Linked DNA regions of Coturnix japonica. The protein of the gene in region 1 interacts with the protein of each later gene in a pairwise test. Links are inferred from orthologs where the notes say so. Each region holds a gene or a part of one and is shown on either strand. Other genes may lie near its edges.

Region 1 (4,317 bases):
ATCCTTTGATGTGTTACAGACAACAGAAAATAGAAGTGTGTGTCCAGAACAGCTGATAACATGAAATTAGAGGTGTCAGCTTTTTGCAGTGAGAAATTGCTAACCTTTGTGACAAGCCTTTGTTTAGTAGTGTCTTCTTGATTAAGACAAAGGAAAGGCTTTAGAAAGCAAATGGCATTACAAACAAGGCAGTGACAAACCTCTTTATGGTATTTCAGTTTCTCTGTTTTATCCTTACATTTTTCACAATGTCAATATTGGATGTTAGTGAATTAATGGCTGTTCCTATGCTCCGCTGCTTTACAGGCTGAGCACATGGTGGTTCTCAGCCTGCACACCCTGCACATTGTAGTGATTCTTGCCAGCTCATATGTAAATGTGCTTATCAGTGAGACCAATTATTTGGTAACTGATGGCAAAATAGTGGGGGGAAAGAAAAAAGAATTTTCTGACACGTTTTTGAATGTTAAGTCACCACATAGATGCTAAGTCTAAAAGATTGCAAGCTCTTTGTCTAACCTGAGGCATGTAATTAAGGGAGCTGTTAATGAGAAGCAAGGGAGTCATACCTCCAAGTAGATAAGAACAAAAGGCCTATCCTTCATGCCTCCAGGCTACAAAATGAAGCTAAAATAACAAAAAGAATGCTACTCACAGGATGACAGATGTACAGAAAATGGAAAAGCAGTGAAGGACAACCATGGATGCTGGACAGTAAGACCACAATGAAGGGAACCTGACCTTTGCACGAGGTATGCAGTTCTTGTGCTCACAAACTTCTGAGTGTATCCAATATCCCCGAGCCCACACAAAGAACAGCTGAGACTCGGAGCAACTACTCAGTTTCCTTGGCAGTGTGGCAAAAGCCACAGAAGTGCCTGATCATCTGCAGGCTGGGGCTGAAGATGCTGGCTATTTTCAAGCATCCCACACAGAGAGGGTTAGGATTGCAGCCCCTCCTGCATGTGACATGTTCTCCTCCTATTGCTGTGATGTTTCGTACTATTACATTAAGTTTTCTAGCATGTAACAACAGTGGAACAGGCTACATGCTGAATAAACACCAGGAAATTTCCATTTCACCTTTTGTTTGGTTTTTTGCTTGTTCATTTGCTGAAGTTGGATGCTGACACACCAATTCCCACGTCATTAAACTGTGCTTTTGGTCAGGCTGAAATACTGAACTTTGATTTTTAAGGTGAACTCCTCCAAAAGTACAAGATAATATTTGAGCCAGTTCAGCCCTGCAGAGACCAATTTGAAGACACACTGAACCTCAGCTTACAAAATAGCAGCTCCAAGTGGTGCCACATGTAGCTGATTCTGACATGACACTGTGTCTTTGCATGGCAGGATGATGAAGCACCCTAAAATTAGCCGTCTTACTATTTCGTAAAGAGCAAGCAGAAAGGTAGCAGGCTGCACTGAGGAGAACAAAGAGGCATGGGAGAGGACAAGAACTGAGGCTCACGCACAGACAGGTCCCACTACTTCATGGTGAGAACTCTTGGCTTCTTTGCAAATTTCCATCTTGCTCTGCTTAGTGTAATTTCTTATCCTGAGCACAGGGTGACCTTAGTGTGAAAGAAGAAAGGCGATTATGCAAGTGGTGGTGGGGATTTGTTCTCTCAGTGGGCTTGGGAAACAGTAGAGAGGAAAACTACTGGTGAAAACAACAGTGATGATCTATTTTCTTTCTTTTTTCCTTTTTTTTTTTGGGTGGGGGGGGGTCAAGGAGGAGGTGGGGAGGTGTTGGGAGGTGCAGAACTGGCATGTAATTCACAGAATTAAGGTTGTTGTTCATCGAATTGAACTGAGAATAAAAGAAAAAATAGTACTGTTCTGGGATCCAGAAATATCATGATAAAGCCCCCCATCTCTGCTGAGCCAGACTGATAGTTAAAAGACATTCAGTTCTCTTTCCATCCCATTTCTTGGGCTTTGCAAAGAGTAAGATTTGAGAGAAATAAACTATATGGCAATGGGAAGGTAGGCATGGATGTTTTTGGGTACAAGAGTAAAGGAAAAGGTCCTGGAACAACATGAAATTTGCAAATAAGGGGGAAAAAATAAACTGTAAGGAAACATTTGAATACCAGAGGGCACAATAAGCAAAATAACTAATGAATGTTAGGGCTGATTGCTGGGAGAGAAGAAAGACAGCATGATTCCCTAGGAAGCAAGGGACTCAGCCACCAGTTCTGTGCGATAGTCTGTGTGGCTCTGTGCCTACATGAGTGTCAGGACCTGCTTTTTTCTCTATTGCTATGGTAGGACATTGTGGAAAAGTAGATGGGAATGAAATAATTGACTCTGAGGCATAAAATGTGACCAGACCTATTTCTGCTTGGAGCTCTCTCTCACAAATATGGGACTGTTCTGTGACAGAGGTATTTCTGTTTGGTAAAGATGGTTAGATAGCACTGTTTGCAGCTTTCATAGTTTAATTTAGGATGAGACTAATGATTTCATGGGTATTACTGAAACCCAGAGGGACATGATACTTGAAGATCTATTTTGGTGCAGTTAGCAAACGATATTTGGTACAGCATGGACTGTGCCATTGGTATCAACTTCAGTATAGATTTCTGTTCAAAAATGTATTAAATATTCACTGTGGATGAAGACTCTTGGATAGGTGGAAAATTAGATTTTTCTTGCACAGGTTATTAAGGGCCTCCAGAGAAATGATATGTGAGCAGACTGAGACTGGAGTGCTTGGAAGAACATAACTCTTTATTTCCTATAATATGTTTCAATATTAGCATTGGAATAAAAGATTCCAAAAAAATGTTGATATGATTTAGGAGAGAGAAGCACAGTAAGCTGCACAAGATCAGCAATCAATAACTTATAACTATGTGGAAAAATGGAATTATTACTGCTTCCCAGTGCACAATTCACATGCAGAAAAATTTAATGACTCCTCATGTTACTGGAGATCTTGCATCCCAATAATTAACAAGCTACCATTTAGAAAAGGAAAATTGCCACAATGTTTTGTTTCTATTTAACAACACAGGAGTTGTGCAAGATGCTGACAATTTTGCAGTTGATTTTTTAATGAGCGATTTAGAGACTTATCGCCAGAAAATCATGGGATAATGTTTTTAGAAGACTGTTTCTTTGTTTGTTTGGTATGCCAGCACAGGAAAAAGTGGCTTCAGTTTAAAACTTCAAGCTTGTAAGAGGAGGCCAAAGCAGCTATATATCATTTTCAAGCAGAAATAGTAGAGCAGCCACCTGTGCCAAACCTCCATTGCATTTAGCTGGCATTTTTTTCTTGGATAAGGAGGGTGGTATCAGTGACTCATCACCCTTGTCTGACTGACGAAGGCTTTCTTGTTATTGATGTCAGCATGCTACTAGGGCACCACTAATTATGATCACTGATCCCAAAGAGAACTGGTTAGTTGAGGGGTACTGCATTATCCCCGCTTTACACAGACATATTTACTTATTTCCATAAAAGAATGATACACAGCTATTTCCATCTCCTAGGCAGGGCTCTAGAGCAGCAAGATGACCTTTAAACACACACAGATATTACTCTGAGAGTAATCACTGTAGATTCAAGAGAAATTGTTTCTGAGACTCCCTTAGGAAAAGGCCCAGCATTTCCACACCATCAAACTGAGACACAACAGCTTCTGTACACCCCATGACCCAGTGGAGACATCCAAAACCATACAGACTGCCAGCATGAAACTCCAGTTTCATCACAAAACACTTCCATAATATTTTTTATCTTGTAAATTTGTAAAGCTTTTAGCTTCTAGACTTACAAAGCTTTTAGCTTGCAAACATGTACAAAATATTGTGACTAATGTGACAAAACTTCTGCAAATACAAGCAATTCAGCACAAAGAATAATGCATGTTGATAAGCTTGCAGCAATTTCAGCCAGGAAAACACTCCTCAACAAACAACATAAATTTACAAATTAAATTCCTCTCAATATAACAATATATATATTTTTTTCCTTTTCACTTTTCCTTAATTAACCTAATGCTTATTTGGCAAGGTAGATAAGTGGTTGCTTTGTAATAAATGGTATAAAGAAATCACTTTTCCTAAGAAGCAAATGACATATGATCTTTATATTTTTCCCAGCCTCTTGTTCAAGCTTGAGCCCCTAAATAGCTCTTCACCATTATAAATCTGCTTGGGTTATCTTCTGAGTTTATAATAACCATAAGTATTAAAATAGTATGTTTATAACTCTAATAATCCCCACTGCAGAATTATAATAGACATGAACCTAGAAGTATTTTGTTTATGACCAGTACAACTAGTCATAATTTCCAGTGAGTTATA
Region 2 (4,290 bases), about 8.6 Mb from region 1:
TTATCCTACTGTATTTCCACTAACCTTTGCTAGGGAAGAGGGCTAGCCACTGGTATAACTACACAGTCCTTTGAATTTTACATCAGAACATAACTCACCAAGAAATACATAACAACCAAAATTTAGCTGTGTGTTTTCCCTTGATCTTGATTGACACACTTATATGTCTAGAGCTACTAACTTTACAATCCCAATCCAATAAGAGACTGGGGAAAAGACAGCAATGCAGGGAACCAAATTATTCTCTTTCCACTTTTAATTCAACACCTGGCATTATTAACAGTTCTCATGCTCACTGCTATTTATGATACAACAAGTTTTGAAAGCCTCTATCTAAACCAGATCACAAGCAATAGAGTTCAGACTAATAATGACCAACAGTCTGGGAAAAGAGGAGTAATCCAGTAAAGCACTGGAGCATTATAGGGGGACTCTTTATTTTCTTTTTCCCCCAGATGGCACAGGTAAGATGAAACTCCCATACATGAATAGTCAGCACTATCCTAAACTTTTGGCAAGGCCCTAACAATTACTCTAGTGTTAAACTTAATCATAACATCCACTAAATTTAACAAGTTATCTCTTTGAACATACTTAACAAGACATCCAAAACATTTCCAAAAGCTATGAAGAGCTGTGCTGCAGCACAGCATCATGCAGCTTCAGCACAGCAGCTACCTCGCATTCATTTGCCAAGTGCTATAAATGGGAACTTTGGTACTGACAGCAATAGGTAAGATCAGCCTTGAAATTACTCAGCAACCCGATTTAACTGCACTGTGTTCCAGTCAGACTGTAAGGTCCCAATGGGGAAAGCATATCCTCCCACTCTGGCAGCTCAGTTCCCCTGCTCATGGGGTGCTGGTGCCTGCTCAGAGTGGCTCCTTCCAGCATAGCCTTTCACAGCTTTCTGATAGGTCTGATAAATGCTGGTGAATGGAAATGCAAGAAAATTCTGAACAAAAAGGATGTTCACAACTCAATGGCTTTTGTCAGCATAGCAGCAGCTCAGTGCCAGTCACACAGGGAGTTACAGTGAGGTGGCCTCATGGACTTGACTCAAACCCTGAGGATGCCAGCAGGGGATTGCTCTGGGGATGTAGAAGACCTGCCTGCAAACATGCTTGCCCCAGCTACCCACAAAAGCACACCTAACCAGGCACAGGCTGAACAAGGCCTGCAGTCAGTCTGCCACATGCTTACCCATGTTCCCAGGGGGTGCCTGCTGCGGTCATCAGACTAATGCTCATAACATGTTTTCTTTACAGGTGACTGGGAAGAAAACCGATGATAAAGATACCAGCAGCTTCCTGCCTGAGGACTTCAAAACTGGAGAGTATGAAGCTGAAGTAAAATTAGAGAAGCAAGATGACCTAAAGACAGCTTCTGATCACCTACCAACCCAAGCAGATATGGGTCACGCGAAGAAGCAGCATGAGGCAGAGGTAGGCTCTTGGATTTCATACTTGGGTTTTTATCATATTTCATACACTTTTTCAGTACTGTGAAGTTTCTCCTCTTTTTAAATTAGAAATACATGCATGGTGGGCTAGATAAACAAGCCCCTAGGAATTGCTGCCAAACAAAGTTGGTCTAACGCCCACTGAACGCAGAGACATGCTGACTCCTGCAGCCAACTCATGCAGGCAGTAACTCTAAAGCAGAACCCATGAACAAGAATTCATCTGGAAAAAAAACCCATACCATGTGGCAGGACCTCACCAACCTATTTACCAATATATTACTTAAAGATGCCAAGGGATAGAATTTGTCGTGAGGTAACTCTTTGTTTTGAATCATTCTTCCAAAGCCAAGGTCACCTCATGGTACCTGAAATCTTATGTTTCAAAGACAACACACTTGTCACTGATGCCAGCAGCGCCCTGTACTCACTTCATGCAGGGATGATTTGAACAAGGAGGCTTGAAGAAGACTTAAACACTTACTGAACTGTCTCTTCAAGGACATTGGTGGCATTCTTTCTAGTTTACCAGAATACAGCACTTACTGATTGAAGTGCTAAAATTGTTGTAAATCACATATCACATACTTCATTTAAGGGAGTTGGGTTTTTTTTTGTTTTTTGTTTTTTTTTTATAAATCAAAGAGAATTAAGTAACAATAAATCAGTGGCTACCACATGAAAGTGGTTGAAGGCAAAATGATTAGTGGAAGCCAGTTAAACCTGCAGGGGCCTCTCAGTCCTTATAAGCTGCAGATATCTTAAAATATTGGTCCAGAAGGGAATGCAGGGCTGCTTGGACTCCTGGCCTTCAACAAGCAAGAAAATCTCATGATATCCCACAACATATGGCTGAAGAAAGTGTTTAGGAAGAAGTACAATGGCATATGAACAAGCTGTAAACTATGCAGAATTTCTCATATACTTAGCAATGTATTCTAATGGTCCATTAGCCATAGACCTAGTACAAATCAAAACAAAACAGCAACTTATTTCAAAATTAAGCCAGTCTGGACTGGATTCAACTGAATGGTAGTACCCCCGTCCTGCCACTCTGGAGGGAAGAAGTGTTCGATCTCAGCTCAAACTGCTGCCTCTCCTAATTTGTTTCAGTTGAAGAAAAAACTACAGGAGAAATCAAAACTCGAAAGCTTGGAGGACCTTGAGAAAATTATTCAGCTGAAGAAGAAGAAGAAATGCAGGAAAGTGAAAGCTCCCCTTTTAAAGGAACCCGAACCAGAAGTCATTGTAAGTTTTGCTGTGAGCTCCTTTGGGAAAGGACCAACGGGCTTTTGTGCCACTTGTATTCATCTCCTGTATATTTTTCTCCATTAGACAGGGCCAGTGGATATAGCCATGTTCTTCAGAGCTGCACTGGAAAATAAGTTGCCAGTAATTGAAAAATACTTGTTGGACAAAGGGGATCCCAATGTCTGTGATGAGGTATGCTCTTCTTTCCTACTTTGCAGCCTGCTGCACAAGAAGGTTTATTACAGAACAAAAATAACTTCCACCAGTAGGTTTTATGGTATGCACAGTTTTGAGGAGGAAAGAATTGGGAGTGGGGTGAGATAAATAAATTCGGGAATTTTAACGTATTATGTATTCCATTGAGAAAGGGGCTGCTGGGATCCTCCTAAACAATATTACTTCAAAGGAATCCTTAAGTTTCAAATTAGTGACCAGGAGACCCTGATTTTCTGTAGCAGTTGAACTTCTAATGCTACAGATGAACAGACAAGAAATCTGTCTGCAGAAATACACACAAAAAAGCAATGCTGCTTGTATTCCATAGTGCATAAGCTGCATTTGCAAAATATTGCACAGCGTGTTGGATGGAGGAACTCAACAGGCATCACATTTTAAATTTGAATGCCACACTGCAGATATTCCTCACACCCTTTGAAATGCTGGATAGGCAGCTCACTGCAATTAAGATACTATTAAAATTTAGGAGATTTCAGGTCTCGAAAGCATTAGCTCTTAAAAATGAATCAGCATATCACGTAGATTTGCCATCATCCCAGGGAAGCAGAGATAAAAGATCTAAAAAGATCTTTCTGTGCCATATTTGATATCTGACTTGGCACTGTTTTAATTGACAGTACAAGCGTACCGCACTGCACAGGGCATGCTCTGAAGGACATCTAGAGGTGGTCAAGAAGTTGGTGGAAGCCGGAGCCCTGCTTGAACTGAAAGATATGGTATGTCCATCAACATGTGCTTCAAAAAAATTGCTCATTGTTTTGTAACTACTAAAATAAACACACAAGAAAAGCGCTAGAAAGACTTTACAGTATCTTCCAAGTTTATAATTAGAATAATGCTGCTGAGAAGAGGTTTCAGGAGGGGGTGTCTGTCTTGCTTGGCCAAAATTGTTGAAGGAAAATACAGGAATTAGAGGAGCATGTTCACCAATAGATCACCACAAACCATAAAGCCCTGAGAAGGGTAGGACAGCTGAAGTCAAATTACCATGTCGGGCTGTGAGCAGGTGCTGGAGGTAGCAGGGTCCCATTAAGGGCCCAGTGCACAGTATGCAAACTCCACCAGGAGATCCCTGTGCGCAGGAGACAGCCACACTGCTGAACACTAGCAGTTGTTTTTTCACTCCTCCTCTCCCAGTTCTTAGTTTGTTTGCTAAATAGGTGGCATTGGCCAGCCTTACTCCCCCTCATTCAACCAGCCATGCCCACAGTACTGTCAAATCAGAGGAATGGCAAGCAGAGCAACACCCACAGGTAAGAGGCAGCCCTTCCAGCAGAGCTTGGCTGTGGGGAAATAGGTGTTGGAGAGGTGGAGGGCAAAGATGATGGGCTGCTAATTTA

The links.
Region 2: the proteins of MYPN (region 1) and ANKRD1 interact in a two-hybrid assay, tested with the Homo sapiens proteins (2 studies listed by BioGRID). The link is inferred for Coturnix japonica from reciprocal best matches to the Homo sapiens genes MYPN and ANKRD1.

What each region holds. Positions count from the first base shown.
Region 1 is NC_029521.1:8,506,520-8,510,836, forward strand, and holds the start of MYPN (myopalladin), read left to right. Parts: upstream 1-1,280; 5' UTR 1,281-1,497; intron 1,498-4,317. UniProt on the Homo sapiens protein: Component of the sarcomere that tethers together nebulin (skeletal muscle) and nebulette (cardiac muscle) to alpha-actinin, at the Z lines.
Region 2 is NC_029521.1:17,070,720-17,075,009, reverse strand, and holds the start of ANKRD1 (ankyrin repeat domain-containing protein 1), read left to right. Parts: upstream 1-1,190; 5' UTR 1,191-1,205; coding exon 1,206-1,445; intron 1,446-2,575; coding exon 2,576-2,710; intron 2,711-2,797; coding exon 2,798-2,905; intron 2,906-3,567; coding exon 3,568-3,666; intron 3,667-4,290. UniProt on the Homo sapiens protein: May play an important role in endothelial cell activation. May act as a nuclear transcription factor that negatively regulates the expression of cardiac genes. Induction seems to be correlated with apoptotic cell death in hepatoma cells.